Diceros bicornis minor: one gene and its partner. The protein of the gene in region 1 interacts with the protein of each later gene in a pairwise test. Links are inferred from orthologs where the notes say so. Each region holds a gene or a part of one and is shown on either strand. Other genes may lie near its edges. The genes, in order: PTPN6 and LAIR1.

Region 1 (15,135 bases):
GCAGTGACCCTAGGGATATCGACCAGGATAACCGAAGCACGTCCCCCAGCATCTACAGCCCTGGAAGCGTGGAGAATGACTCCGACTCGTCTTCTGGCCTATCCCAGGGCCCAGCCCGCCCCTACCACCCACCTCCACTCTTTCCTCCCTCCCCTCCAGCGCCAGACAGCACCCCCCGACAGCCAGAGCCTGGCTTTGAACCCCATCCTTCTGTGACACCCACTGGATATCATGCTCCCATGGAGCCCCCCACATCTCGAATGTTCCAGGCTCCTCCTGGGGCCCCTCCCCCTCATCCACAGCTCTACCCTGGGGGCACTGGTGGAGGAGTTTTGTCTGGACCCCCAATGGGTCCCAAGGGGGGAGGGGCTGCTTCAGTGGGGGCTCCTAGTGGGGGTAAGCAGCACCCCCCACCCACCACCCCCATTTCAATATCAAGCTCTGGGGCTGGTGGTGCTCTCCCTACAAAGCTGCCTAACACTCCAGTGGGGGGTGGAAACCTACCCTCTGCTCCACCACCAGCCACCTTCCCCCATGTGACACCAAACCTGCCTCCCCCACCTGCTCTGAGACCCCTTAACAATGCATCAGCCTCTCCTCCTGGCCTGGGGGCCCAGCCACTACCTGGGCATCTGCCCTCTCCCCATGCTATGGGGCAGGGTATGGGTGGACTTCCTCCTGGCACAGAGAAGGGCCCCACTCTTGCTCCCTCACCCCATGCTCTGCCCCCTGCTTCCTCCTCTTCTGCCCCAGCCCCCGCAATGAGGTATCCTTATTCATCATCTAGTAGTAGCTCTGCAGCAGTCTCCTCTTCCAGTTCTTCCTCTTCCTCTGCCTCCCAGTACCCAGCTTCCCAGGCATTGCCCAGTTATCCCCACTCCTTCCCTCCCCCGACAAGCCTCTCTGTCTCCAATCAGCCGCCCAAGTATACTCAGCCTTCTCTCCCATCCCAGGCTGTGTGGAGCCAGGGTCCCCCCCCACCTCCTCCGTATGGTCGCCTGTTAGCCAACAGCAATGCCCATCCAGGCCCCTTCCCTCCTTCTACTGGAGGCCAATCCACTGCCCACCCACCAGCCCCAACACATCACCATCATCACCAGCAGCAACAGCAACAACATCATGGGAGCTCTGGACCCCCTCCACCTGGAGCATATCCCCACCCCTTGGAGAGCAGTAGCTCCCACCATGCACACCCTTATGCCATGTCTCCTTCCCTGGGTTCTCTGAGGCCCTACCCGCCAGGGCCAGCACACCTGCCTCCACCTCACAGCCAGGTGTCCTACAGCCAAGCAGGCCCCAACGGCCCCCCAACCTCTTCCTCTTCCAACTCCTCTTCTTCTTCTCAAGGGTCCTATCCATGTTCACATCCCTCTCCTTCCCAGGGCCCCCAAGGGGCGCCCTACCCTTTCCCACCGGTACCTCCAGTCACCACCTCCTCGGCTACACTTTCCACGGTCATTGCCACAGTAGCTTCCTCACCAGCAGGCTACAAAACAGCCTCCCCACCAGGTCCCCCGCCGTATGGAAAGAGAGCCCCGTCCCCAGGGGCCTACAAGACAGCCACCCCACCCGGATACAAGCCGGGGTCGCCGCCCTCCTTCCGAACGGGGACCCCACCAGGCTATCGAGGCGCCTCGCCGCCCGCAGGCCCAGGGACCTTCAAGCCGGGCTCGCCCACTGTGGGGCCTGGGCCACTGCCGCCTGCGGGGCCCTCGGGCCTGTCATCCCTGCCACCACCGCCTGCAGCCCCTGCTTCAGGGCCGCCCCTGAGCACCACGCAGATCAAACAGGAGCCAGCTGAGGAGTACGAGGCCCCCGAGAGCCCAGTGCCCCCGGCCCGCAGCCCCTCGCCCCCTCCCAAGGTGGTAGATGTGCCCAGCCACGCCAGCCAGTCAGCCAGGTGAGCAGCCAGGGCAGGTGCGGGCGGGGAATGGGGACCGACAGAGAGCTGGAGCAGGCCCACCCGGCGTTCATGTGCTTTTTAAAGGACTCAGATCCCTGTCTCGCCCTCAGCCTGCGGGGGCTGGTTTTGGGGCACGGTCCCCGCGGGGCCGCTCGGGCAGCTCACAGGGGCTGAGCGCACGCTGCCTCTGCACCCGGCAGGTTCAACAAACACCTGGACCGCGGCTTTAACTCGTGCGCGCGCAGCGACCTGTACTTCGTGCCGCTGGAGGGCTCCAAGCTGGCCAAGAAGCGGGCCGACCTGGTGGAGAAGGTGCGGCGGGAGGCCGAGCAGCGCGCGCGCGAAGAAAAGGAGCGCGAGCGCGAGCGGGAACGCGAGAAGGAGCGCGAGCGCGAGAAGGAGCGCGAGCTGGAGCGTAGCGTGGTGAGTGCGTCACCGCGTGCGCCGCCCTCTTTCTGGCCCGCCTGCCCGCCCGCCCTCTGCGCCGCGCAGGGAGGCTCGAGGGGTGGGGGCGTCATCGCGCCACCTGTCAGAGAGGAGGAACCACTGCATCCCAGGAGATGGAGACTAAAGGATTCCAGCGGGAGGGACCAGTGCGTTCCTGGGTTGGGGGAAGGCAAGCTCAGGTCAGACTACCTGTGGATCGTAGGGAGAGCCAATATCCACGAGAAGAGGGTAGCGAAGTTCCTGGAAAGCTGAGTGCCAATAATGTCAGGCATTTTGGCATTCAGCTGATGAGACAAATGAGCAGCTCAGGACCAGCCACCTCTCTCCAGATCTGCCCTTTTGAGTCCGCTTCTCTCTGTATCCCACAGAAGTTGGCTCAGGAGGGCCGTGCTCCAGTGGAGTGCCCATCTCTCGGCCCAGTGCCCCATCGCCCTCCATTTGAGCCGGGCAGTGCTGTGGCTACAGTGCCCCCCTACCTGGGTCCTGACACTCCGGCCCTGCGCACTCTCAGTGAATACGCCCGGCCCCACGTCATGTCTCCTGGCAATCGCAACCATCCATTCTACGTGCCCCTGGGGGCGGTGGACCCGGGGCTCCTGGGTTACAATGTCCCGGCGCTGTACAGCAGTGACCCAGCAGCCCGGGAGAGGGAGCGGGAAGCCCGTGAACGAGACCTCCGTGACCGCCTCAAGCCTGGCTTCGAGGTGAAGCCCAGTGAGCTGGAACCCCTGCACGGGGTCCCTGGGCCAGGCCTGGATCCCTTCCCTCGACATGGGGGCCTGGCTCTGCAGCCTGGCCCACCTGGCCTGCACCCTTTCCCCTTTCATCCGAGCCTGGGGCCCCTGGAGAGAGAACGACTAGCGCTGGCGGCTGGGCCAGCCCTGCGGCCTGATATGTCGTACGCTGAGCGTCTGGCAGCTGAGAGGCAGCACGCAGAACGGGTGGCAGCCCTGGGCAATGACCCGTTGGCCCGGCTGCAGATGCTCAATGTGACCCCCCATCACCACCAGCACTCCCACATCCACTCCCACCTGCACCTCCACCAGCAGGATGCCATCCATGCAGGTGAGACTTCGACTTCTTTGCCTTGGCCTCTTGGGGCCACCTTGCCCCCTGGCAAATGATTGGGCTCTTCTGTTCCTGAGGCCAAGACGTCCCTCCCTAAGTGTGGCACGAGCCTCTCTCCTGAGATTGCTGCCCACATCTTTGCCTTCCTGTCATCTGCCAGCCTGTCTCCTCATGCCCTAAACTCGCTACAGAGACTATAATTTTCCACCCCTCGGCTCTCTTCCAACTCTAGCAGCCCACTCGTGATAAAGACCCAGCTGGAAACCTTGGAAGGAACAACACTTTTATACCCTCACAGCCCCTCTCCCCGAGCCCTTCTCATACCCATTTTCTTGCTTGTCTGGATTTGACTCTTGTTGTTTCTTGCCATCTTCTCTTCTCCTCCCAGGTGGAGGTCTTTCATGTTCCACCCCATCTCTAGATCTGTGACCTTCCAGAAAGAGCCCTGTGGCTTTGCTTGTGGGGGTCATAGGTGATATGAGCTTTCCTTACTATCCTTTCACCATATTTCTCATTGTCCAGAACACTGCCCAGTCTAACCTTACAAACACGTTCATTCCAGGCTCTCTTGTGCTTTCTCTCTTAATCTCCTTTCTCCTCCTGTCTCATTTCCCAAACTTTCTATCCTCTTCCATCTCCTCCAAGCAGTGCACTTCTTTCTTTCCTTTTTCTCAGACCCCTCTGACAACTGTAATTTGTCCTCTGCCATCCATGTGTCCTACTCCAGTAGGGTCTTGTCCTGTCCATCCCCCAGGCCCCCAGTTCTTCCATTGTGCCTCCTTCTTCCATTCTGGATCTCCCTGTTTTTGATTGTCCATCTCTCTTCCCAGGCTTGGCTCCCTTCACCCAAATGCATGCTTTTCCCCCAATTCTGCCTTCTGGTGACACCTTCCTCCTCTCTGCCCTCCAGCGTCTGCCTCGGTGCACCCTCTCATTGACCCCCTGGCCTCAGGGTCTCACCTTACCCGGATCCCCTACCCAGCCGGGACCCTCCCCAACCCCCTTCTTCCTCACCCTCTGCACGAGAATGAAGTTCTTCGTCACCAGCTCTTTGGTAAGGATGGAGGTTGGAGGTGGGGAGGGTCTAGTGAAAGAAGGGCAGAAAGGAGGAATTTGGGTGAGATTGGCCTAGTTGGGCTTGGGGAGGGATGAGGAGGTGCCCAGAGGAACCAGGATGGAAGTAGGAGGGCTGAGGCCCTGCCCAAGAGAGGCATAGGTTTTAGTGCCAGGCTAAGAGGTTTGAATTCTAACTCCCCCACTGGCAACTTGCAGGACTGGCTGTTTCCTAACCTTTTTAGTCTCAGTTTCCTCTGTATGTAAAGTGGCTGGCTCTCCCCTGGCCCAGAGTAAGTATCTGTACCCCATCAGTCATGTGCCTCCTGCTCTTTCTGCCCACAGCTACTCCTTACCGGGACCTGCCAGCCTCCCTCTCTGCCCCGATGTCAGCAGCTCACCAGCTGCAGGCCATGCACGCGCAGTCAGCTGAGCTGCAGCGCTTGGCGCTAGAGCAGCAGCAGTGGCTACATGCCCATCACCCGCTGCACAGCGTGCCCCTACCTGCCCAGGAGGACTACTACAGGTACTACGACACCCCTTGGCAGGGAGTGAGGGGATGCAAGCTCAGCTGGCCTGGCAGCTGGCAGGGTGTGGGCATGGTCCAGCTGGGCACTAGGCTCCTGGGGGAGGGAGACCTGGCCCTTCTCTTCCACCATCCCCCTCTGTGAGAGGGGCCAGGTCAGGGTCGACCTCAGTCTCTCCTCTCTCTGCTCTGTACCCCCTCTCCCCTAGTCACCTGAAGAAGGAAAGCGACAAGCCGCTGTAGAACCTGCGATCAAGAGCACCCATGGCCCCTGCATCTGGACCTTGGAGGCCTCCTTCCAGGCCTGCCACCCAGAGCCGAGGAGGGGTGCTGCTCAGTTGAAGGGCCTCGCAGCTGAGCAGAGGGAGGGAGGAAGGGACAGATGGAAGTCCAAGGCTCCTGTGGTGTGTGGCGGTGGGGAGGTAGTGGGGGTGGGGGCAGAAAGCGCACAGTATCTTGGACCAGGTCCTTCTCCCTTGTCCCCCTGCTTTCTTCCTCCCCCATGCCCAACCCCCAGTGGCCACCACCCCTCCCCCACCCCGTTGGTGTGATTATTTCATCTGTTAGATGTGGCTGTTTTGCGTAGCATCGTGTGCCGCCCCTGCCCCTCCTCAGTCCCTGTGTGTGCGCGCCCCCTCTGCGATGTATGTCCCTTGCCCCTCCCCCACATTAATAATTTATATATATAAATATCTATATGACGCTCTTTAAAAAACATCCCAACCAAAAACAACCAAACAAAAACATCCTCACGACTCCCCAGGAAGATGGCTGTGACTGGTTCTTTGCGGGCTATGGTGGTGGGCTTGGGATGGGGGCTGGGGTCTCTGCGCAGGGGTCCCTGGAGAGGAAGCTGTGGAACCGGAGAGGCTGGCAGGGAAGTGGGAAGGGACGGACCTTCTGAAGGCACTGAGTGTAGGGACCCTGGAGAGTTGGAGACGGGATCTCAGAAGAGCCCGGGGCCCTGGAGCCCTGGCTTCCTAGTGGGGGTCCTCCCGGTGCCAATCCCCTCCTTCCTGCCAAGGCTGGGAAATGGAGATGCTGGAGGCCTGGGACAGGCACGCTTCGGACGTGGTCGGGTCTGAGAACGTTTTTGCAACTGGTCCCACGGCTAGGAGCCACCAGAGTCCTGAATCCTTTCCGTGGAATGGCTAGAGAAACGGTTATGAGGCGGAGGGGCAGGGGCCGTAGTTTCGGTGGGTTAAAGCGATTGGAATCCTATGGTTTGAGGAAGGAGCGAGTGACAACTTCAAGCTTAGAAAAGAAATTAGAGGGCGTACCGCTGCAGCGAACATGGCATCACAAGGCCATTTTAGGAAAGCGCGAGAGGTACTCTAGCTCCAAGCTTTTACTGCTGCGAGTCACTGTCTCCGTTCTTAAAAACTAAAGGGGTGTGACTGGCTTCTTTCTCAGCCAATCAGCATCGGTCTCATTTGCATAGAGCCTTAACAAACGTTCACAAACTCCAGAAATCAATGATATGAGTAAGTTCCTTAGAATACTGCTTTTCCTTCTGAAAGTTACACTGTGCCTCGTTGCTTATACAGTAGGAATTAGAAGAACCCCGTTCTGAGCTCACCCTCACCGATAGTGGAGTTCCTGGCTGTGCCGCCTTCTCTCCAGGCCTTTCTTTTTAGTGTTACAGCTCTTTTAGAATTTGTCTAGTAGGTTTTCTGGTTGTTACTGGAAAACCCCGTCACCGCTCGTTTTGAACAATAGAGTTAGTTGAAATGGGGTGGTGTCTACTTGTCGCTAGTACTGGAGTATTAGAAATTCGCATTTAGTGGTTTTGCCGTTGCCAGGAAGTCCCAGCAGGGAGACCAGCGCTACGCGGAGAGGCTTCCGGCTACGCTGATGCGCTTCCCCTCCGCCCGCATCCCCGAGAGCCGCTGCAAGAGAACCCTCTTTTTCTTTGAGCGTTAAGTTGGTTCCGCCGCACGTGCGGTTTTTGTTGCCGTATGGCGTCCGCCTCGGCCCAGCCCGCGGCCCTGAGCGCCGAACAGGCCAAGGGTGAGAAGCATGCTCGTCACAGGGTGGGCGGGCTGCCTGCGCAAGGAGGGTGCAGGCGGAGGATACGGAGCGAGAGCTGTGGTTGCATCGCCGGAGAACGGGGGCGAGGGGTACCGTCCTTACTCTTCCAAGAGGTGGTTCTTGTCTACTAGAGCGAGGGATTCGGGAGTCGAATTTGTCGGGTTACTATGGCTTCAGTCCACTAATTAATTCCTTGCCCTCTTCCCTGCGCTCTTGGCTGGGCCCGCCGGCCATGCTCCGACGCCTATCCCGGACGCCTCCCTGGGATGCATCTGCGGCACAGTGGTCCTGGCCGAGGTAATCCAGGCGTTCTCGGCCCCAGAGAACGCCGTGCGCATGGACGAGGCTCGGGACAACGCGTGCAACGACATGGGCAAGATGCTGCAATTCGTGCTGCCCGTGGCCACGCAGATTCAGCAGGAGGTTATCAAAGCCTATGGTTTCAGCTGCGACGGGGAAGGTGGGTCGCACGGAGGTCGGGGAGAGGGCGCTGTATCCGTCGGGTCCCTGAGCCGTCGTCGTCCTTCTCGCCACACGGCGGCAGTCACCATCTGACTATTAGCACTCAGAGCCCAGGGTCTACTCCGAACTTGTGCCAGGCGATGCCCCAGGTGCGTTTTGTCGTTACCGTAAGTGGTGATATGGTTATCCCATGTTAGGATGAGGAAACAGACTCTAGCAGTAAACTAAGTGCCCGAGGTCACAGCAGAGCTGGACCTGAACCCCTTCTGAGAGCTTTTAGTGATATGTCTGCGTGTCAGTGGGCTTCTGCAGCCCATCCAAGGTGTTTCAGCTAATCTCTGTTTGAGGGTCAGCAGTTCAATTCCGTTGAGATCATGGTGTTCCCCAAGGATGTTGTTTGACTCAGCCCAGCTGGCCCAGGGCCCTCATGTGTCCTGGTTATATAGACTTGGGATCTCATGGGTGTTCATACTTGTGGTTCTTGTGACTAAATTGCTAAAATGGTTCACCTGATAGTGAGAAGCGCACTGCTTGGGATATCTTCGTTAATTGCATCCTATCCAGTTGTGCCTGGTGTAGACCAGGAAGTGGTTGATCCGAACCACACAGGGTAGGGACCTGCATGTGTCTTGTGTTTTGCAGACAGCTACCTGGCCAGAGGAGGCGCAGCCAGTGACTCATGCTCCAGCTGCTCCCCCCTGCCATCTTGGGCACACCCGTCCCTTTGGGGTGTGGGCTGACGCTCCACTCCCCCTTGCAGGTGTCCTCAAGTTTGCCCGCTTGGTCAAGTCGTATGAAGCCCAGGATCCTGAGATTGCCAGCCTGTCAGGCAAGCTGAAGGCACTGTTCCTGCCCCCTATGACACTGCCACCCCACGGGCCTGCTGCAGGTGGCAGCGTGGCCGCCTCCTGAGGGTTGGCTCTCCCGTGTGACACTGCCTGGGAAGGGAAGATGTTGGTGTTCCAGAGGATAATAAACCTGCCTGTGACTTAGCCTCCGTGTCAGTCTTTTGTGACCCTGACAACCCCCACCTCCTGGCCCCAGATTCCCTCTGCCATTCCAGGCTGCTCCATTTCCCTGTCCAGATCCTTCCTATGCTCCTGTGGGGCCCAACCCTCCTCCAAGACAGGGTGGGAGGATGCAGGTCCCTCAAAATGCTGGGTGAGTGGGTCTGCACAGGTGGCACCTCCTCTGAGGAGTGGGGTTTCCTGGCTTTTCCTGAGGCCTTTTGGCTTCTGTGCATGGAGAGACTCCCCCATTGGTTTGTGTTCCCTTGGCCAGGGTTACTTCCTGGTCTTTGCTTCCACCCGCCCTCCCTCTGTCAGCTTGAGCGCCAGGTGGAGCTCCAGGTGGCTCCTCCCATCCCAAGGGAGGGAGGCCCTGGACAGGCAGGCGGGCCCTGGACTACCGAGCAGGGCTGGAGGGAGAAGCAGGCTGCTGTAGGCTGTGTGAGGCCAGTCCCGCCCCACCTGTCCCTTTTCCGGGGATCATTAGTCCTGGGGCTTGTCCCTGCAGTGCTATTGGCCTAGCGGTCAGCTTCGAGGAGGAAGTGGCCGAGTTCCGAGCGTTCTTCCTCACCTGGTTTGGGCCACTGTGCACAGCTGTGCCCCTGGCTCAGCCCCGCCCCTTGTGGCCCTCTGATTGCGACTTCCCCATCTCTCTGGGGAGATGCTGTCCCGTGGGTAAGTCCCCCGCTCCACCTGGGTACCACAGTCTCCTGTTACTTTGGGAGGGAGAGGCGGGGCTCATGCTCACTTTTAACAGGTGTGAGACTATGAGTGCAATCTGCTGCTGCCTCCTGCCCTGGGTCTGCTTCCTGTCTCTACATACTGCTTCCCCCCAAGATGTGAGGAATCCCAGGCTGATTCATGCCTCTCTGCCCCACCGCTCCTTTTCTCTAGGACTTTCCCCTGACAGATGTGTATTTATTCTCACCATTGCATTTCTCCCTTGCTTCTGTCGTCTGCTTAGGACCTGTGCCCCTGGGTAGCCCACGTCACCTGAAACAGGGTGTCTGAAATGCAAACCTGAGAAAGCTCCCTGTTCCCACATGACTTCCCATCTGGCCTCCGCTCCTCTTTCTCTCGGTTTCCTGTCACTTCCCCTCCCCTGCATCATTCATTCAACACATACATGCCGAGCATCTGTTACAGGCCAGGTACTTTTTAAGGTGCTGACAATACTGTAGCAAACAAGGTGGACATGGTCCCTGCTTTCACGGAGCTTCGTTCCAGTGCGAGGTGACAGACTACACAAGGAACCCAATTAATAGGATCATTTCTCAGAAGTGTTATGCAGAAAATGAAACAGTTTCATGTGCTAGTGAGTGACAGTGTGCCGCTGGCATCACTAGCTGGAGCGGTCAGGGAGGGCTTTCCTGAGAAGGTGATGCGGGAGCTGAGACCTGGATGATGAGGAAGAGTCAGCCATGTGGTGATAGTCACGTGCCCCTGGGCGGAGGGAGTGGCGAGTGCAAAGGCCCTGCAGTGGGAACAAAAGAGACAAGAACAGCGCCTGCCGCAGAGTAAACCAGCGGAGAGGGAACAGGGACAGGCAGTTAGGCCTTGCTGGAGTTTGCATCTTACAGTGAAGACCAGCTTGGGGTGTTGGTGTTTGTGGGTTGGTCTCCCCAAGTCCTGCTGGTTCTTCTCACACGTCTGCCCTTCCGGTTTGCACTGCTGCCCCCAGTGCACACCTCGTCACCCTCAGCCCCCTGACAGGGCTCTCATTGAGTCTTCTGGTCCCTCATCCTTCCCACACTCCTGCCACGGCTGTTTTCCTACCAGGTAGCTGGCAAGGCTTCTCCCGGTGCAGAGTCCTTCCTTGGTTCCTCAGCCTGGCCTTGTAAGACCCTTTGCAGCAGGTGCCAGCCTCTCTGAGCAGCTTTGCTCCAGCCATGCCACTCTGCTCACACCCCAGCATGGCTCAGGTGGCCCTGTGCCTGCCCGCTCGGGGCCTTTGCAGAGGCTGCCTCTGTGGGAACACCAGCCCCTCCGCTTCCATCGTGGGCTGTGCCGGTGCCCTCTGCCCCATCCCCCCGCACTGCAGCCTCCAGCGGCGCGGTTGGTGTGGTGGAGACGGCAATAGGCCCTGGCATCAGACAGCCTTGATTTGTCCACCTTCCCACTCACTTGTGACCTTGTGCAAGTTGCTTAACTTCTCTGAGCCTTAGTTTTTGTTTCTAAAATTAGGCTAAGACCTACCGAATAGGGTTGGCATGTGGATTAATAATGTAAAGTAGGGCCGGCCCCGTGGCTTAGCGGTTAAGTGCGCGCGCTCCGCTGCTGGCGGCCTGGGTTCGGATCCCGGGCGCGCACAGACGCACCGCTTCTCCGGCCATGCTGGGGCCGCGTCCCACATACAGCAGCTGGAAGGCTGTGCAACTATGACATACAACTATCTACTGGGGCTTTGGGGGGAAAATAAATAAATAAATAAAATCTTTAAAAAAAAAAATGTAAAGTAAAAGCTGTTGGCACTTAAACCCTACTACTAAACATTAGCTTTTTACATCAGTATTTGGGAAATACTCTTAAGTCCGTTTATCAGGTGGGGATACGAGGCTCCGGGAAGTTCATAATTTTCTAGAAATTATTTCACTTTGTTTGCTCTTCCAGACCACCTATCTTTCTGTATCACCATTGATCTCTATCTCGACCTTTATCTCCCTGCTTCCCAGGTGAATTTTCTCTTCCGAATGATTGGTTGCTTGCTTTTGTAATTCTCAGCCTCCTTGAGCCTGTTTTCCTCCGTTAAACAATAATTCCTACTTCACAGGGATGTCTGAGGCCCAATGGGGTTGTGTGTTTGCAAGTCCTCTGCAAACTCCAGAGCACTTATGTCAAGGGGAGGTGGAGGGGAGGTGGTTACGATTCATTTTTCTGTCAAGGGACAGCAGAGACTGTATATCTTATCCTAGTGTTTGTCTGTCTTCCAGCTTGACTACTTGGCTTCAGAGAAATTCCTGCCTCTTCCATGGGTCAGGAGTTTCTGGGTGCCTGGTTAGTTTCTTCCTGCCAAGTCAGTTTAAACCCCGGAAGGAGAGAGGCCTGTGGCCAGGGTGCAGCAGATGTTTAGTGCCGAGCACGGACCTGCAGTTTCGTGTGTGGTCAGGGTGGTGTGAACGTGTGTGGGTGTTTGCACCGGACCAGGTATGTGTGTAGATGGGCATGGATGATGAGGTGCATGTGGTGGGACCATGTGCCTAAATGGAGGCTTGTATGTGCGTGTATGTGTACTCATCTATATGTGACAAGCAGCGTGTGCAAGTGTAGGACCAGGAGGCTGGACTTGTGACCACATATGTGAACGGGTATTGATGAGCTTGTTTATCAGACATGTACTCCGTGAGAAGCGTGCTCAGCTTTGAACATTCGGAGGCGAGCAAGACTAGCAGCAACTAGAGCAAAGGGCTCTTCCTGCCCCTCGCTGTGAGGGTGTTCATGGTCCTTCAGGGTGGCCGTCCAAGACTGCAGGGGTAGTCAGTGTTAGACCATGCAATAAACAGGCCAAGCAAGTTCCCCAGGGCACCGGAAGGGAGGAGGAGCTCTTTTTAGGGGGGAAAATTGACGTTTGATGTTTCAAAAGATGATAAAGTAGTCATCATAGGAAAAATACACTTTCATTGGGCTTTAACATTTTGTTATTTTTTCCTTATTTTTAATTGAGGTATAGCATACATAAGGTGCATGAATATTAAGAATACAGCCTGATGAATGTCACACTTATACACACCCGTGTATACACCACCCAGATCAAGATTTAGAGCAGTCCCAGCACCTCAGATGTTTCCCAGAAATTGCCATCTCCCAGTCAATTTACTTATTTTTATAACAGCAATACATGCCCATGCTACAACGTTCAAAAAAGTATGAGGGAGAAGTAAACGTCTCTCCCAGCCCTCTCCTCCGGCCACCAGGCCTCCCTCTCTAGGGAAGCCACCAGTGTGAGTTTCTTGTGTCTCCCTGGTGGGGCTTCTTTCCTCTTGTTTTGGCTTGGCAGTGTTTGTGTTGTATGGGGATGACACACTGGGTACATCATAAGCTTTTAGTGTTTAGGGCCTCTCCAGGTCAACCAGCCCTGAGAATATCAGCCGTGGCCGGGACCTCGGCCCCAGCCTCCAGCCCCCAGGAGACATGCCCCTGGTCAGTCCTGGCTGACTCAGACCAGACCCACTTGGCAAGAACCTACAGCTCAGGCACAGGTGGCCCGACCCAAGGGGGCGGGCGGCTCTATCCCCATCTGCTTTCCTCCCATTCTGTTCCTTGGCTCTGACTACACGGTTAGGGCAGGGCGGGGCAAGGGCCTAGAGACAAGAAGTTGAAAAGTGCGAGTTTGACAGGGCTGTGCAGGGGTCATTTTGTCCATCCCTCTGCCCCAGTGGCACCTGTGCAGTGTGTTTGTCAGGAGAGGCAAGGGCGCCCCTCACTTTGTCAGCATCTGCACGGCCTTGGCTATTAGGAGTCTCCCCCTCCCACTGCAGCCCCAATGGCCGAGGAGCCTCCCAACCTCTGTCCTTGAAGCCCCGAGGGCTGGCATGTGGTAGCTAAAATCACAGGCTTTGGAACCAGACCGTCCGGGTTTGCATCCCGGCACTGCCACTTACTGACTGCATGACCTCCGGCCACTTCTCTACCCTCCCTGAGCATCACGTTCCTCATCTGTAAAGTGAGGATAAAACCTTGTCTGTAAAGTGAGGATAAAGATGGTACCTGCTCCATAGGGCTGTTGTGAGGGATAAGGCAGACAGGGCACGTAGACAACCTTTTAGTACAGTGCCTGGCATACTGAGACTCCATCAAATGACAGTCGTCACTGTCACCATTATTAGTAGCTTGGACCAGGGAAGGCTGTGTGGAAGCAGCTGGAGGAGGAGGAAGAGATGGCATGTGACTGTGCAGGTTCACGTGTAGGAAGCATGAGGGTGCTCCTTGCCTGGAGGGTGCAAGGCACACGTGTCCTTATTTCGTGTGTTGTCACGTTTGCGGAGGGCCACGCTCCTGAAGCCTCTGACGGCAGACGTGTGGGAAGTGCGCCCCGTCCCCACCCCCACTGCCACCCCGCTCTGCTTGTCTTCGCTCTGCTCTAAAACGAGAAGTACAAGTGAGTTCCCCCAAGGGGTCGGCCGCGCCCCTTCCTGTCCCCGCCCTGCCGGGTGCCCCAGGCCACTGGAGTGGCAGCCCCATAACCAGGACCGCGGGGTGGTGAGGTGGCCTGGGCGCTGAGAGCTGAGAGCCCTGTTGGAGGCTTAGCCCCCGAGTTCTCTGCCTGCCCCAACCCGCTGGCAACACCTCGTTCCTTGTACCCCTTCCTCTCGGGGAGCCCCAAGGATGGTGAGGTAAGGGCCTGGGACCCATGGTAGGCAGGAGGCGAGGATGCCCTGGGGGCCGTGGGACCTCTCCTTACTGCCCTCCCGGCCTCCCAGGTGGTTTCACCGAGATCTCAGTGGGCTGGATGCAGAGACCCTGCTCAAGGGCCGAGGTGTACACGGGAGCTTCCTGGCTCGGCCCAGCCGCAAGAACCAGGGCGACTTCTCCCTTTCCGTCAGGTAGGTGGCCTCCAACTCCCACCAGGGCCCGTATTTTGGCAGCTCATCCCCGGTTCCCTCGTGGCAGTGCCAACTTCCCATCCCCAGCCCGAGCATGTCCCCTGTCCCTGTCTGTGTCCACCCCATCCCTGTGTGTGCCCCACACTCAGGACCTCAGCCCAGCCCCCACCCCATGCCCACCCCTACTCCTGCACCCACTGGCCTCACTGCCTGGTACCCTGCAGGGTGGGGGATCAGGTGACCCATATTCGGATCCAGAACTCAGGAGATTTCTACGACTTGTATGGAGGGGAGAAGTTTGCGACGCTGACGGAGCTGGTGGAGTACTACACACAGCAGCAGGGCGTCCTGCAGGACCGTGATGGCACCATCATCCACCTCAAGTACCCGCTTAACTGCTCTGACCCCACCAGTGAGAGGTGAGGGCCTTCGCACCCTGACCTACCCCCACGCAGAGCGGGCTGGCCTCCACCCCTCGCTGTCAATGCGTCCCCATCCCCGCTCCTTCCCAGGGCTCTGTGGGTCTCTTTCCTCCATGTGATCCTGGGGCCCGGGTCTCAGGGGACTAACTTCCCTCCCCTTTCCATCAACCCTTGAGGAAGCAAGAGAAGGTCACCTCGCCCTTCTCCGGGGTCCCTGTCAGCTGGCAACCCAGGCCCTGCTAGTGACCGTGTTTTATAGCAGGCCAGCTCTGTTATTAGAAAGCTCTTCTTCCTTCTATGGAACTGAATCTGCCTTCCTGTAACTTTTCCTCCCCCAGTACAGGTTAATACGGAGAGAGGTTGGTGTTGGGGAGGAGCATAGGGACTAACGCTGATGAGGACGCTTAATGCCTTATCTCAGCAACCCAGCGAGGATTGTCTGCCCTCTGGGGCTGGGTAGAGCTTGACTAGTCCCTGGACCAGAACACAGATCATTGAAAACTGTGTGATGTGGTCACGTGTGTAAGGGGCCTAGTACCTGGGCACAGGGTAATACTCAAGGCATTTCCCTCCCATCCCTTTGGCTCCAGAGATGTGGTCCCCAGAACTGGGCTGGCTACTCCCCATGTGGTCTCCCTAAAGCATGGGCGGGGGGGTGGGGGGACCTGAACACTCA
Region 2 (15,489 bases), on another chromosome or scaffold:
AAATTTAAAATCAGATCCTCAGCTGCAGCAGCCACATTACAAGGGCTCAGTGGCCACACCTGGGTAATGACATCCTCACTGGATGGCGCAGATATACAGCACTTCCTTCCCACCGGAGGTTGTATGGAACAGCGCTGCTCTCCGCCCTTTGGCACCTGTATAGAGACCACACCCGGGAGGAACAGGGAGCTGGGACCTCCCCATGATGACCTCCTTGTGGGCTCCCACCCAAGCGCAGGAATCCCCATCTCTGATTTCTGTTTCTCACAGCAGACCCTGATGGGGGAGGAACCACCGTTCTGTGCTAGAAGCAGCCAAGAGCCCGTGTCCCCGTGTTGCCTGAAGCCCTGCAGGTAGCGGGCGAATCCATCGCATCAGCCACGGTCTAAGCTTGGCGCATGCGCTGTAGGTCCACCACCTCCTTTACAGTTCACCGCCTCTGGGCGGTGCGCCTCGCCGCTCCTTTCACAGGTGGTCAAAGTGAGGTCCTGCTGGGCTCGTCCACCCACAGGGTGTGAGCCCCCATGTCCCCTCTTCTGGACAGCACCTCCACCCTTCCCGCTGCTTCAGAGGCTGAGTCCTCGATGTCCTTTAAGAAAGGAAGAAAACCACCTCCCTGGGCGTCCTTCCCTCAACCCCTTGTGCACCGTCCACCATCCAGGACCCCACCCTCTGTTCTCACCATCCCTGCCCGTCCTTCCGTTTATGATATTTACCACAATTTAAAATTGTATATATATGCAATATATGTATAATATATATTACAATGCATTTATATATGTATTACATTTTATGTAAATATATTTAATATATTATATTATTATTTTTGTATTTTATATTAATGATATTATTAATTATTATTATTAATTATTTATTAATTATTAATTTATATATTATATTTATTAATATAGTAATATATTAATACATTGTAATATATTGTGTAAAATGTTTAATATGTAATAATTATAATAAATATATATTTAAAATTATGCGATTTAATGTATATATGTAAATTTAAATTGTATAAATATTTTAAATTATATATAATTTAAAAGTACTTATACTATATGTTATATATAATATATAAATTATATATATTTATTATATAATACATGGTACATCTTTATGTTAACATTTACATATATATTAATTTTAGTAATACATAATATACTGTATATCATTATATAATATATATTACATTCTATACTCATTTTAATAATATATTGTGTTTTGTTATACTACTTATATATTTAATATATAATGTAAATACATACTTGAATATAAATTATAGATCTGAAATTTTACATTGTAAATTATATATTTAGGTAAGCACATGTGTACGTATGTGCATTTCTTTCGTGCTTTCTAATTAATTCTCCCCAGCAAAGTTTGGGAAGCGGGACCATTTCTCTTCCTCCACCACGTGCATCAGTCCCGCATTAGGTCGGTGTGTGGCACATATGAAGTGAGAAGAAAATATTTGCTCCATGTTAACACGAGCAGCACTTCTTCCGACTGTCCCATTCGGCAGGCACTGATTTAAGCCCCGTGCCCTGGGTATGTGTACTCCTGCATCCTCTAAACAGCACTGCAGTCCGTGCATTTATTGCACATTTTGCACAGGAGAAAACTAGGACATAGAAGATGTTGGCGGTTCACCTGTGGGCACAGAGCTGGGGACTGGCAGGGCTGGAATCTTAACCCTGAACCCTGCAGTCTGGCCATTGGGATTCTGCCCTGAATCTTTAGTCTTCACCACATGAAAAATGGGAGAGAGAGAGAGAAGGACAGGGGGAAAGAGACAGACACAGACAGAAAGAGACATTTGCTCTGTGCCCCCCATCCCAGCAGAGTCAGAGCTCTCTGAGAAGAGATCTCTCTTCCTCTTGATGATCTTACATCGTTGTTCGGCCGTAACTATCAACAGATCACATTCTCTCCCATAGTATCTGATTTTGCAAGGTGAGCTATCAGTCCCTCTGTCCCTCTGTCCCTCTGTGTTTTGCAGAGCCGGGCCAACAGTAGGACCCTGACCACAAGGGGACAGTGCAGAGCTGCGGCCAAACCTTGAGGTCTGGGGTCTGGCTGCCCTGGGCTACCCTGCCCCTTCAGAGCCTTGTTCCTGTGGCAAGAAATTTTAACTTTGTTTCTATATATTAAAAGGGGGGGGCTCTTAGAAGATGAGGGGAGCACCTCCCACATTGGGCTGTGGTTGGCAATAACTGCTTTCACAGAGCCTGGCATGGGGTTTGTTCAATCATGGTCATTATGAATATTGATGACACCCCAGTGCCCTGCAGGTGTCAGCCCCTTGCTATGGTCTTACCACTCCCTAATCCAAGCCCACGGCAGGGAGTTGGGCCGTGGAGCCTGATCCCCAGCACAGAGCCCTGCAGAAACCCCTCCAGGCTGAGGTCTCTACTCTCCAGCTGAGGGCTGTGTGGGCTGGGAACTGATATCTCCAGGGGCTCCTGTGACAGAGGCAGGAGAAGGGCTGATGTCCCACTCAGCCTGGCCCCTCTCTACCCTGAGCATCCATCCCCAGACACTCATCATCAGTCCCAGACAACATGCTGAGATTCCCGAGGAAATGGGGCAGGGGCACAGGAGACAAGGGAGAGCCCTCCCGCTCCACTCTCTGGGGGTGGTCACTGTTCTGCTCCTCACACACTGTGCTCTCCTTGACCTCATGGAACTGGCACAGAGCAGCTCCTCTGAGGCCCCAGGAAGACATGGAGGAGGATCTGAGTGTCCCTGATGGACCCTGAGTCCAGGATGTCACGGGAGCTGACCACACACAGGGACAGGGACAGCCTCATCCCAAAGGTTCCCCAAAGCACCATCCAGCCCAGGTCAGGGTGCCCTGGACCATGTGACTTGCCCAATGGAGGATGGACCACACCACAGGGGACACATGGGGCCCTGGGGTCCCACAGATTCTGATCAAGTGGAAAGCATGGTTTAACATCATTCTGAGAAAAAACACACATTCTCTTGAAGCGGATCTGTCCTGCACCCAGTCTTTGGAAGCTCATTCCCCACCCAGCCTAACAGGGCCAGCTCCGTGCCCACCCCAATGATAAGGCTGAGTGTCCAGGCCATTGTGGTGTCCAGATGGGACCAGGGCTCCAGGTATATGAGCTGAGTGTGAAGGCAGAGGGACACATGTGCAGAGGGGGAAAGGGAGGTTAGCAGGAGGGGAGGGTAGCCTGTGGACAGAGGTCCAACTGGGGACAGGATCCAGGGTCCTGGGGACAAACCTGAGGGCAGAGTGGAGACGTCCTCCTCTGTCACCTCCAGCTCCAGAATGTTACTGTGCTTAGACCAGCTGAACTTTCCATGATAGAGGCAGCGATAACGCCCAGCAGAGTCGTCACTCACTGCAGTGATGGGGAATCTGGCCTCTGTCCCATGTGGATCAAGTTGGGACACTGTGTGCTGATCCCTGTAGGAGCGTCTATCCTCCTTCTCCAGGCGGAATGACTTAGCCCCATCAGGGCCCCGACACACGATGGTCACAGGCTGCCCTCGAGGGATCACAGGGCCTGGCTCAGCAGAGATGGAGGGTGTAGGCAGGGCCCCTGGAGGGAAGCAGAGCAGGATCTCAAGATCCACTTGTGAGGAAATCACCATGTCACACAATTCATCCACTTTAAGTGTACACTTCAATTTTTTTCGCAAATGCAGAGTTGTGCAACCATCACCACAAGCCAGTTTCAGAACATTTCAACATCCTCACAAAAGACACCTCCATGTCCATTCTCCCTGCATGTGAATTCTCATCACTGTAGTGTTATCTTCCCCACTTGATGTAAGGATCCGAGACTTGGTCCCATCTTGCTTAGGGTGACCCGGGAAGTGTCAGAGCAGGCTGTGGGCCGGCATCTCTGCTGCAGAGCCCTCCCTCCCTGTGCATGACCACTTTCTAGGGGGACAGAGAGGGCTGGGATGGAGGCAGAGGATGGGAATGACCAGGTCATTTGTGGGGACAAGGGAAGCCAGAGTCTGGAGTAGGTAGGAATGATCTGGCCGGGTCTGAAGGACAGCTGATCAGTCCCAGGTGGGATTGTGGGGGACCGGGAGCACAGTATGAAGGTTCCAGTGAAGGTCCAGTGGGGGTGTGGCAGAGCCCCAGCACAGATCTGGTCACACAGCCCCCAGTGGATGCGGATTCCTGTCTCCAATGTAAGTCCTCTGTGAAGCGCTCCTCTCTGAGTTTTCTCTGTATTTTCTACCCTCCTCTCAGCCTTACTTCCATTTCCTGTTATTGAGGCTGGTGGAAAACCCCATCTGTCTCAACTAATCTGGGGCAAGGGGAAGAGAGTGTTTGTAGCCCTGAAACAGGAAGGTGACGTCAAAATTAGCAAAATCGGTGATAGAGGCAGGGAGCTGGCAGAGGTTTATCAATCATTCATTCGCCCATTCTTTCTTTCTTTCATCCAAGTCTTAGTTCCTATCTGTCCTCTTACAGACGCCTCCACTTGCCAGTAGTTCAACAAATATGAAAAACACACACATGATCTCCGCTTTCTCATGGGTGAAAATCTAGAGGAAGGACAGATGTTGATCGAATAATTGCACAAATCTGCAGCTACAAACTGTGATGTGTGCCCTGGGGGTGAGTGTGGGAACCTAGGGGAGAAGATGGGAGGCAGGGCTGACCTCATCTGGGCAGTTGGAGGAGGCATCTAAACTGAGATGGGAGGGTCAACATGAATTACCCGAGCTGAGCGATAGGGGACGCCAGGGCATTCAACCTGGAGGAATCAGCATGTCAGGAGGTCCAGAGCTGAGTGGAAATGTGGCGTGTTTGAGAAAGTGAAAGAAAGGTGAAGTTTCTGGAGATAAGGGAACCAGAGGGCGTGGGGACAGACAGATTCAGACCAAGAGAGATGCAGGGCTCTCATTCTATCTGCAGATAAACTGTGGGAGGACTCTAAAAAATTAATATTTTGCCTGAAAATATACGAAAAAATGCAAACAAAACTTTAAAATTATCATTTGAAAATCATATCCCTGGGTGATATGTTGACTATAGCAGGATGAAGAAGATGGGATCAAGGATGTATTCTCAGATTCTGCCCTTGGCGACCGTTGTGTTCTCTGCCCGGGGAATGCTGAGGAAGGTCTAGGCTTGTGTGGGGAGAGCTCACAGATTTGAATAGTCTTTGTGGGGCTGTCAGAGCACAGGTGGAGAACAGGGAGAGATTGGGGTTGTTTGCAATTGAGGGCATATTGCAGGGCCTTCCCCCAGGCCCTCCCAGGATCAGGACCACTCCCATCTAGAGCTGCCTTTGGGGTGCGGAGGGATTGCGGAGGAGACTCACCATCCTGCACGTGGGTCATCTGGCTCAGACAGAGCACTGGAAGAGAAATCGTAGTGAGAAAAACGTCCACCACCCCGTTTCCTCCCAGGGCTGCTATCAAGGGGATTTGAGCGAGCCAGGGGGGTCAGCCTCTTATAATTTCCAAACCACCCCTCCTCAACATGACATCTGAGTGCAATCTTTCTTCTTGCTCTGAAATAGTCTCAAGACAAATCCCCCATCCCCTCTTCCAAATAGATACTCCTCTCTTCCAGCCCTTCTCAGAGTCTGAACTCATCTCCACACCTGGGTACCCACTTCTAGGACTGAATCTTCTGTGGTCAGACTTGAGGTCTGGGCCAAAGCTGAGGGAGGAAGACTCCAGGGGGTGGGGAGGACCACCTTCTCCCCCAGGGTCCCAGAGTCTCCTGGACCAGAGTCAGGACTGAGCAGGAAAGCAGACCCCCTCCCCAAGGCTCCCACTCCCTCTGTGCCTGGAATCCAGTGCCCCCATTCCAGGACTCACCGAGGCCCAGGAGGCTGGTGCGATGGGGAGACATGGCCCAGGCCACGAGCCTGTGCCGTCCTGGAGCCAATGGGAGGAAGGATAGAGCCTACAGCAGACACAAGGGGACAGGATGTGCTGGCCGGGGGGCCCTGTCATGGGGTTTCTACATCAACGGCCTCACGAAAAGGGGAAGTGCTCTCTCCCCTGTCCTCTCCACAATTCCTGCTAATGAAACGGGGGAGGGCCTTGGCTTCCAAAAAGATGTTTTCTTCCCCTCCATGCTCAGATGAGGCTCAACTCATCTCCCCATGAATGCCTTGAGGTGTGAACCTCATTCTCAATCTATGGGACAAGGTAGAACATAGATTTGTGCACGAACTGACTTGAATGTCAGTCCAAACTCCACAAACTCACATTCTGTTCTCGAGCAAGGCGTTGCACCATTTTATGCTGATGTTTCCTCATATTTAAAATGGAAAGCCTAACATCCTCACCAAGCATTTAATATCACAATAAATGTTAAATTCCCAGCAGGATATTTAATGCATTAAAAATATCCTACTAACATGAATTCTCTTTCCATCTTCCCCCAGTGGCAGTGGAATTGGGAAAGCATAGGGTGGCCCATCCGCATACGTGCAATCCTAAAGAGATGGAATGATCAGGAGACAGACCTTGGGGTTGGGGCCAGATGTGGGACCCAGCTGGGTGCAGAAACAAAGAGCAGGATAGGGATGGGGAAGGCGCTTGTGCATCACGGAGCCCAGTAGGACCCAAACTTCCATTGTGGGTACTCATGTCCACTGCCTCTGAGGACAGAAAAGAGCTGCTCCTCCCAGGGGTCGCTGTAGCAGGCATTGGTGGTGATCTACACAGCAGCCATTGCTCACTTTTTCCTTAGTAACTGAAACCTGGTTCTGTTCGAGTGGCTATGTTCCATGTTTGGGGCCAAGAGGATGAAGTTTGGGTTAAGGCAATCTAGCAATCCCATTTGCAGTGATTGGTCCAGAACGGGGTACATGACCGTGTATGAACAACAATACTTAAAACAGAGTATACCACGGTTTCTGGAAATCATATTTCTCCCTTAATAACAGAGCGTCTCATAAGGTCATTGCCCCTTTTACTGCTGTCCTTCATTGGCAGCTATATCATGATGATGTGATATTTGGAGCTGCAGCAGCTGTCTTGCAACCATGAGGCAAGAAGCTTGACCACAACGGGGGAAATACTGAGCAAACTGAGGTGGAAGAATACAAGATTCAGTGTTCTTAGAAGGTTCTTGAATTGCTAAACCAACCCTGGGATGGCCTATCCTTGGAATTCTTAAAAAGTAAACAATAAATATCCTAGATTTTCTGTCAAAATATCAGACTAAATCTATGGAACAACACTCCATCTTAAAATACAATAATTATTTAAAAAATGAAAACTGCTTAATACAATATTTTAAAGGTCTTCTTAAATGCCTCAAAGCAGTGAAAACTAAGTGAAGGCTATGGAATCAAAAATTAAAGGAAGATGAGGTTCCCCACAGTCAAGCTGAATGCTGACCTGGCTCTCACCTTGATGGTGATGAATTAACTTTTATTTTCATGGCCTTGCAGACTGTAGAGGTTAAAGGATGAAGCCCAGGGATCACCCCAGTTAAGAAGTCTAGGGAGACAATCCCCTTGCTAAGCTGGACCAAAAGCTTCCACTTTATGAGTGAATTAAAATTACTCACCCATTTCTGAGGGCTGCAAAGAATACATGTTTTGATACTCAACATTAAACAAGAGGCCAAAAATACTGTTCCTGAGAAATGACTAACACCAGCCACCCTCCATACCTGTATCTTTCTGGTCTTTTTCTCTGTGTGTGTGCTTCTGTGGATCTCTCTCTCTCTTACTCTCTGGATATCTCTTCCTCTCTTTTCTCAGCTTTTCCATCTCTAGTGGCTCCCTGTCCCCATTCCTCACAGCCCTGCTCCTTGGTCCTTTTATGGTCATATCCATCCCCCAAGCTGTGCTTGATGGAAAGGGCTGACCCCTAAGGCTGCCTTTCCCATTTGCCCCTGTGAGCTGGCCGGGCTATTTCTCAACCTTCCTTCACATCCAAGACCCAGACAACTGTATCTGCCTCATGACTCGAGTTCCTGCCAGACATGATTCCAGATTTTGTAGGGTCACCTGGAACCCTCAGCTCCAGGAGCATTGCCTGCTCTGCATGGAACTGTAGCTCCCTGCACCTGCTCCTCCCAGCTCTCCTTCATTTGGGTAATGGCTTCTATGCATTAAATTCTCCTCCTTTCTCTTTTTTTAGGCCTTCATTAGTGGTTTTTATTTTGTAGTTGTTGTTGTTGTTTATTGCAGTAACATTGGTTCATAACATTCTATAAATTTCAGGTGTACATCATTACACTTCTATTTCTGCATGGATTACATCATGTTCAGCACCAAAATACTAATTACAACCCATCACCACACACATGTGCTGAATTATCCCTTTCGCCCTCTTCCCTGCCCCCTTCCCCTCTGGTAACCACCAATCCAATCTCTGTCTCTATGTGTTTGTTTATTGTTGTTATTATCTACTACTTAATGAAGGAAATCATACAGTATTTGACCTTCTCCCTCTGACTTTTTTCACTTTGCATAATACCCTCAATGTCCATCCATGTTGTCACAAATGGCTGGATTTCATCATTTCTTATGGCTGAGTAGTATTCCATTGTGTATATATACCACACCTTCTTTATCCATTCTCCCTTGATGGGCACTTAAGTTGCTTCCAAGTCTTGGCTATTGTGAATAACGCTGCAATGAACACAGGGGTGCATGTATCTTTACACATTGGTGTTTTCAGGATCTTTGGATAAATACCCAGCAGTGGAATAGCTGGACCATATGGTAGCTCTAGCCTTGACTTTTTGAGGAATCTCCATACTGTTTTCCATAGTGGCTGCACCAGTTTGCACTCCCACCAGCAGTGTATGAGAGTTCCCTTCTCTCCACATCCTCTCCAACACATGTTGTTTCCTGTCTTCTTAATTATAGCCATTCTGACAGGCGTGAGGTGATATCTCATTGTAGTTTTGATTTGCATTTCCCTGATAGTTAATGATTTTGAACATATTTCCATGTGTCTGTTGGCTATCTGTATATCTTCTTTGGAGAAATGTCTGTTCAGGTCTTTTGCCCATTTTTTAATTGGGTTGGTAGTTTTTTTGTTGTTGAGATGCATGAGTTCTTTATATATTTTGGAGGTTAAGCCCTTATCAGATGTATGGTTTGCAAATATCTTCTCCCCGTTGTTAGGTTGTCTTTTCCTTTTGTTGATGGTTTCCTTTGCTGTGCAGAAGATTTTTAGTTTGATGTAGTCCCATTTGTTTATTTTTTCTATTGTTTCTCTTGCCCGGTCAGACATGGTGCTTGAAAATATGTTGCTAAGACCGATGTCGAAGAGCGTACTGCCTATGTTTTCTTCTAGAAGTTTCATAGTTTCAGGTCTTACATTCAAGTCTTTAATCCATTTGGAGTTAATTTTTGTGTATGGTGTAAGGTAAGGGTCTACTTTCACTTTTTTGCATGTGGCTATCCAGTTTTCCCAACACTATTTGTTGAAGAGACTTTCTTTTCTCCATTGTATGTTCTTGGCTCCTTTGTCAAAGATTAGCTGTCCATAGATGTGTGGGTTTATTTCTGGGCTTTCGATTCTATTCCATTGATCTGTGTGTCTGTTTTTGTGCCAGTACCATGCTGTTTTGGTTACTATAGCTTTGTAGTATATTTTGAAATCAGGGAGCGTGATACCTCCAGCTTTGTTCTTTTTTCTCAGGATTCCTTTACCTATTTGGGGTCTTTTGTTGTTCCATATAAATTTTAGGATTCTTTGTTCTATTTCTGTGAAAAATGTTGTTGGAACTTTGATAGGGATTGCATTGCATCTATAGATTGCTTTAGGAAGTATGGACATCTTAACTATGTTAATTCTTCCAATCCAAGAGCACGGAATATCTTTCCATTTCTTTGTGTCTTCTTCAATTTCTTTCAGCAATGTTTTATAGTTTTCGGTGTACAGATCTTTCACCTCTTTGGTTAAGTTTTTTCCTAGGTATTTTATTCTTTTTGTTGCAATTGTAAATGGGATGGTATTCTTAATTTCTCTTTCTGCTACTTCGTTGTTAGTGTATAGACATGCAACTGATTTTTGTATGTTGATTTTGTATCCTGCAACTTTACCATATTCGTTTATTACTTCTAAATGTTTTCTGGTGGATTCTTTAGGGTTTTCTATATATAAAATCATGTCATCTGAAAATAGTGACAGTTTCACTTCTTCCTTTCCAATTTGGATCCCTTTTATTTCTTTCTCTTGCCTGATTGCTCTGGCTAGGACTTCCAGTACTATGTTAAATAAGAGTGGTGAGAGTGGGCATCCTTGTCTGGTTCCTGTTCTTAGAGGGATAGCTTTCAGTTTTTCACCATTGAGGATGATATTAGCTGTGGGTTTCTCATATATGGTCTTTATTATGTTGAGATACTTTCCTTCTATCCCCATTTTATTCAGAGTTTTTATCATAAATGGATGCTGTATCTTGTCAAATGCTTTCTCTGCATCTATTGAGATGATCGTGTGATTTTTATTCTTCATTTTATTAATGTGGTGTATCACGTTGATTGATTTGCGAATGTTAAACCTCATTAGTGGTTTTTAATCAGCTTTATTGAGAAATAATTTACATACAACAAACTGCATCCACAAATATGTCCAATTCATTGAGCTCTGACCGTTGTGACACCACCATCATAGTCAAGAATTGCATCACCATCAAAAGATTCCTTGTGTCCCTTTGCTCCCAGGTGACCACTGATCTTATTTTCTTTTTGGAAAATATTTATTTGTTCCCTAACTTATTTTTTAAACAAACTTACCTTGAAATAGTTTTAGATTTAGTTCCAAAGATGCAGCAAGATTCCATACGCCCTTCATCCAGTTTCCCCTTAGGTAAGTATTTTACATAACCATGGTACATCTGTCAAAACCAAGCAATTAACATTGCTGCAATCACTAACTAAACTACAGACTTTATTTGAATTTTATATGTTTTTATCACTAATGTTCTTTTCCTATCCCAGGATCCAATTCAGAATACCATATTGCATTTGATTCTCTCTTTCTTTTAAATAAGTAGAAGAGTTTCTGTTTCCCTGGTTGGATCTTAATTAACATTCCCATTGTGCCTGAAGAGCGTATGCCCATGGAAGACATGGGGGCAGGCTGACTACTTGGAAAGGCAATGGCTGAAAGAATCAGCATCTATAGCTTCCTCCACCTACTAAGTTCATCGGGTCCAGCAGGGTGGTTATTCTGGACTTTTCCTTAAGGAAGGGGATGCAGAGCTGTCATCCCTCACTACCCTTGTAAAGGCCCTGAACCTTTGCATTCTTCTAAGACTCAGGTCTCTAACTGGAGAAGATTTGTGTCCAAAGCTTACTTCAGGATGAGCATAGAACCTCTTCCTCAAACAAAACCTTTACTTGGGGTACTCCACAAATAGTGAATAATACATTCGGATATATACACAACATTTGCAAATTAAATATAAACTTAATGTCAGATGCAAAGGCAAAATCTACATAAATAAAATGACATATAATGCAACATGAAGTATTAATGAAAGATGAGTTTGGAGAAAAAACAGAGAGTGGAATTGTGGTTACCAGCAGCTAGGGGGTGGGGGAATGGTAGAGATGTTGTTCAAGGGTACATAATTGCAACTAGTAGACAAATAAGTCCTGGAGATATAATCTGCAGGACAGCGATTATAAACAACAAAACTGTATTCTAAACATTACATCTGCTGAGAGTAGATCTTAATTGTTTCCACCGCTAGAAGAAATGATGATCATGTGAGGCAATAGAGGTGTTAGCTAAGCTGCAGCAGTAATCATATTGTAATATAAATGTATCAAATCAATATGTTGTACACTTTAAACTTACACAATGTTATATGTCAACTATATCTCAAAAAAAAAAAAAAGATGAGTTTGCATCAAAATAGTTGAAATATTCCAAAACTACTACCTGGTCACTCCATGTTCATCAGTCCTCCTCCTGGGCCTGTGATGGGGTAATACTACCTGGTCACTCCATGTTCATCAGTCCTCCTCCTGGGCCTGTGATGGGGTAATGACCTACAGTTGACTCTCATGGACTGACCAGCGTCCTCCAGCTGGATCCTGGTCCTCAGAGAGTGCTGCTTGTTGCAGCCTTGGGTCTTTCCCTCATTACACAGAGTACCCAATAAGATCTCAAAGACCCCCATTTCTGAGCATCCCCAGTTTGGCTCAGCAAACACAGAGTGTCTGCTGTGGGGGGTCTACGGAACCGAATCTGAGCCTAGAATGCCCCGGGGTGTCGAGGCATCCTTTCTGTTTCCGGAAGACTCAACCTCAAAGCCCTGCCCAAGTCATCCGCATTAGCCCACACCCCTGCGCTCCACTTCTCCTGCCTAGGACCCTTGGAGTTCAGCCAAGAAAGCAGCTTGGGGCGGGGTGGACTCACCCACTTCCATCCCAGTCCTCTGGCCCTGATGCAAAGATGTTCCTGCTGCACCTGAGGCCAAATAAAACTGAAAATGCACAGGATGTAGTGGTCTAGGCACCAACAGTTTACATCGTCTACAACTTAGCAACCATGCATACAAATGAGCGGTTTTCTCGCTACTCTGTTTGGGTCTCTGATCTTCCCCAGGTTGGAACTGAGAAAAGAACAGAGATTCCTGAAAATTTTCTACAGGAGACTCAAGTCTATATTAGCAACGCTCACCCCCTAATTAGTGCCTGACATGAATTGCATCTCTGCACCAAGCCACGTATCCAAAGTGGTCACGATTTGGTTTTTCCAAATGCTACACGCATATCAAAGCTTTTAAAAGAATCTTTTGCTTTCCTACTTTCCTTAACTACAAAGTTTTATTATTATTATTATATGTAATATTCCTTTATCGACTAAATATGAAAGTACATTACTCTTGTAAAAAGAAGTTCAAAATATACAAATTCAAATGATTATTCCAACTAGAATTCTGACTCAGTACCATTTATAAAGCCATTAACTTTCTCTCATGAAGGTCAATGAGTTACTGAATGTATCTTGGCATTCCATATAATTGGCAATATATAATATGTATAGAAACTATTTTTAAAATCCTCTTATTCATTGGCCAAATGAGATTTCTCTCTCTCCTTCTGTCTCTCTGTCTCTCTCCCTCCCTTTCTTCCTCTTGCTTGCTCACTTTTCCTCCTCCCCCTTTCTAAACTTTATTTTTCTTAAAAACAGCCCTATAGTCCTAAACTCTTGGATTAATACAATTCTCACTTTACTTAACCTTACACTCAGCAGTGAGCCAGCCAGCTCAACCAGTCTCCTGACGCCCGACTGTGGATATGTCTCCCCAGTTTCACCTTCGGGATGCCACTTTTGTAGCTTGAAATTAGCCCCGGTGAGAGTATTTACGCCACAGAAATTGGCAAACGCTATAATCAGGTGTTTTATTTCAGAGAGCCAATTGTTACACATTTACCGTCGCATGATGGCCCATGCCCAAAGGCCAATTTAGAGAAAATCAAATACAACACGTAAAGAACAACACTGTGAAATCGACATCCTGCAGGAAAACCAGAAAATTAATAAAACCATATCTATTTCTGCGGTGTGACCCACCCTGCCCCGTTGCTTCCTCACCTAAGGTAACCGACATTAGAAATCTTGTGCTCAAATTTCCCTTGCATTTCTGTAGAGTGTTACCACATATATATACATCTGTATGTATATATGTCCATTGTCATTTTTTTAATTTTTTTAATTTTATTATTTTTTCCCCCAAAGCCCCAGTAGACAGTTGTATGTCATAGCTGCACATCCTTCTAGTTGCTGTATGTGGGATGCCGCCTCAACATGGTGGAAGAAGCAGTGCGTCGGTGCGCGCCCGGGCTCCGAACCCCTGGCCGCCAGCAGCAGAGCGCATGCACTTAACCGCTAAGCCACGGGGCTGGCCGTCCATTGTCATTTTTAACTTTATGACAAAATGTAGTTTTCAAAATGATTTATTGAAATCTCACCAAATATAGAGTAAGCCTGTGTCAACGTTTTATTAATTCATTAATGATGAAATCATCATTCAAAATTCCTATCTTTACTCAAATATGGACCCTGCCCATTGTCCCTTCTTCCTGCATGTCTGTGCTTCCATTGAGATTATTCTTCTTTCTCCTGAAACTTTCATTCTTTTGGTACCCATCTGTTGATGATGAATACAGTTTTTCATTGTCCGAAATGACTTTATTTAATCTCCAATTTTGAAGGGTGTTTTCCCCTGTTCTAGAGTTCTAGGTGTGTAGTTATCTTCTTCCATCCCTTGCAATATGGCACCCCCCTTTTGCTGGCATTAATCATTTCTGTTGTGAATAAGCTGTAATTCTTGTTGCTCCTTGAAAAATAAACTGTCCTTTTTCTTTCAACGCTTTTAAGATTTTGACTCTGTTTCACCAGTTTTACTGTGATGTGTCTCAGAGTGTGTGTGTGTGCGTGTGTGTGTGTGTGTGCTTACTTTTATTGAACTAGGATAGCCAGAAAGTGCACATATCAAATGCATAGGTTGATGAATTTTCACAAATCGAGCACACTCATGTCAGCACTGCCCTGATTCATAAACGGAACATTACTAGCTCCACATAAGCCCCCTCTATTCTGCTTTCCAGTAACTTCTTTCCAAAAGTAATACATGCTGTCCTGACCTCTAATAACCTGGAATAAATTTTCTTGTTTTTTTTACATAGACATGAATATACCCGACAGTCTCTTCGCATGTGTCTGACTTCTTTGGCTCAACCAAATGTTTGTAAGATTTATCCACAATAATGCATGGAGTTGTAGACCATCCATTCTTGCTGCTCTAGAGAATTCTATTGTGTGAATAACCACAATGTATTTATCCATTCTAGTGTTAGTAGGTATTTGTTTAGCTTCTGGCTTAGGCTATGATGGACAGCACTGCTTTGAATATCTTAATACATGTCTATTAATGGACTTATTTGTGCATTGCTGTTGGTATAAACCTGAGTGTAATTGTTGTATTTCATGCTATGCATGTATTCAACTTTAGTAGGTACTACCAAACATTTTTTAAAGGAATTGTGTTAGTTTATACTCAGTGCATTAGAGTGTTCTGGTTACTGTGCATCCTCACTGACTCCAAGTTTCTCACCTTTTTGTGTTAGCCACACTGTCATGGGTTGTGGTGTCTTATCGTGGTTTTAGTTTACATTTCTCTGATGACTAATTCATTTGAGAACATTTTCATATGGTTTTGGTCATTTGAATACCCTTCTCATTTTTGAGAAATGTCTATTTGAGTCTTTTTCTCATTTCCTCATTTTAAAAAATTGGGCTATCTTTTTTTTAACTAAACAATAGGAAGCTTTCTATTTTTCTTATTATGTATATGAGTTCTTTGTCAGATATATTCATTGTGAATACCTCTTCCTACTCTAGTTGAGGCTTCACTCTCTTATTCGTGTATTTTGAAGAATAGAATTTCTGAATCTGATTATATTCCAGTTTATCTATATTTTTACTTTATATTTTGCACTTTCATATGTCCTAATTAAGAAATGCTGGCTGCAAAGT

Evidence for each region.
Region 2: the proteins of PTPN6 (region 1) and LAIR1 interact in binary tests that used the Homo sapiens proteins (3 or more experiments, as listed by UniProt). The link is inferred for Diceros bicornis minor from reciprocal best matches to the Homo sapiens genes PTPN6 and LAIR1.

What each region holds. Positions count from the first base shown.
Region 1 is NC_080756.1:54,819,030-54,834,164, reverse strand, and holds the start of PTPN6 (tyrosine-protein phosphatase non-receptor type 6), read left to right. Parts: upstream 1-8,927; 5' UTR 8,928-9,158; coding exon 9,159-9,172; intron 9,173-13,629; exon of another isoform or gene 13,630-13,819; coding exon of another isoform or gene 13,820-13,827; intron 13,828-13,914; coding exon 13,915-14,037; intron 14,038-14,261; coding exon 14,262-14,456; intron 14,457-15,135. Other genes in the region: ATN1 (atrophin-1), read left to right, coding at 1-1,900, 2,104-2,326, 2,719-3,415, 4,329-4,472, 4,817-4,997, 5,207-5,240; C17H12orf57 (protein C10), read left to right, coding at 6,956-7,007, 7,312-7,488, 8,251-8,402. UniProt on the Homo sapiens protein: Tyrosine phosphatase enzyme that plays important roles in controlling immune signaling pathways and fundamental physiological processes such as hematopoiesis.
Region 2 is NC_080773.1:32,122,812-32,138,300, reverse strand, and holds the start of LAIR1 (leukocyte-associated immunoglobulin-like receptor 1), read right to left. Parts: upstream 6,037-15,489; 5' UTR 5,867-6,036; coding exon 5,833-5,866; intron 5,364-5,832; coding exon 5,328-5,363; intron 3,582-5,327; coding exon 3,261-3,581; intron 1-3,260. UniProt on the Homo sapiens protein: Functions as an inhibitory receptor that plays a constitutive negative regulatory role on cytolytic function of natural killer (NK) cells, B-cells and T-cells.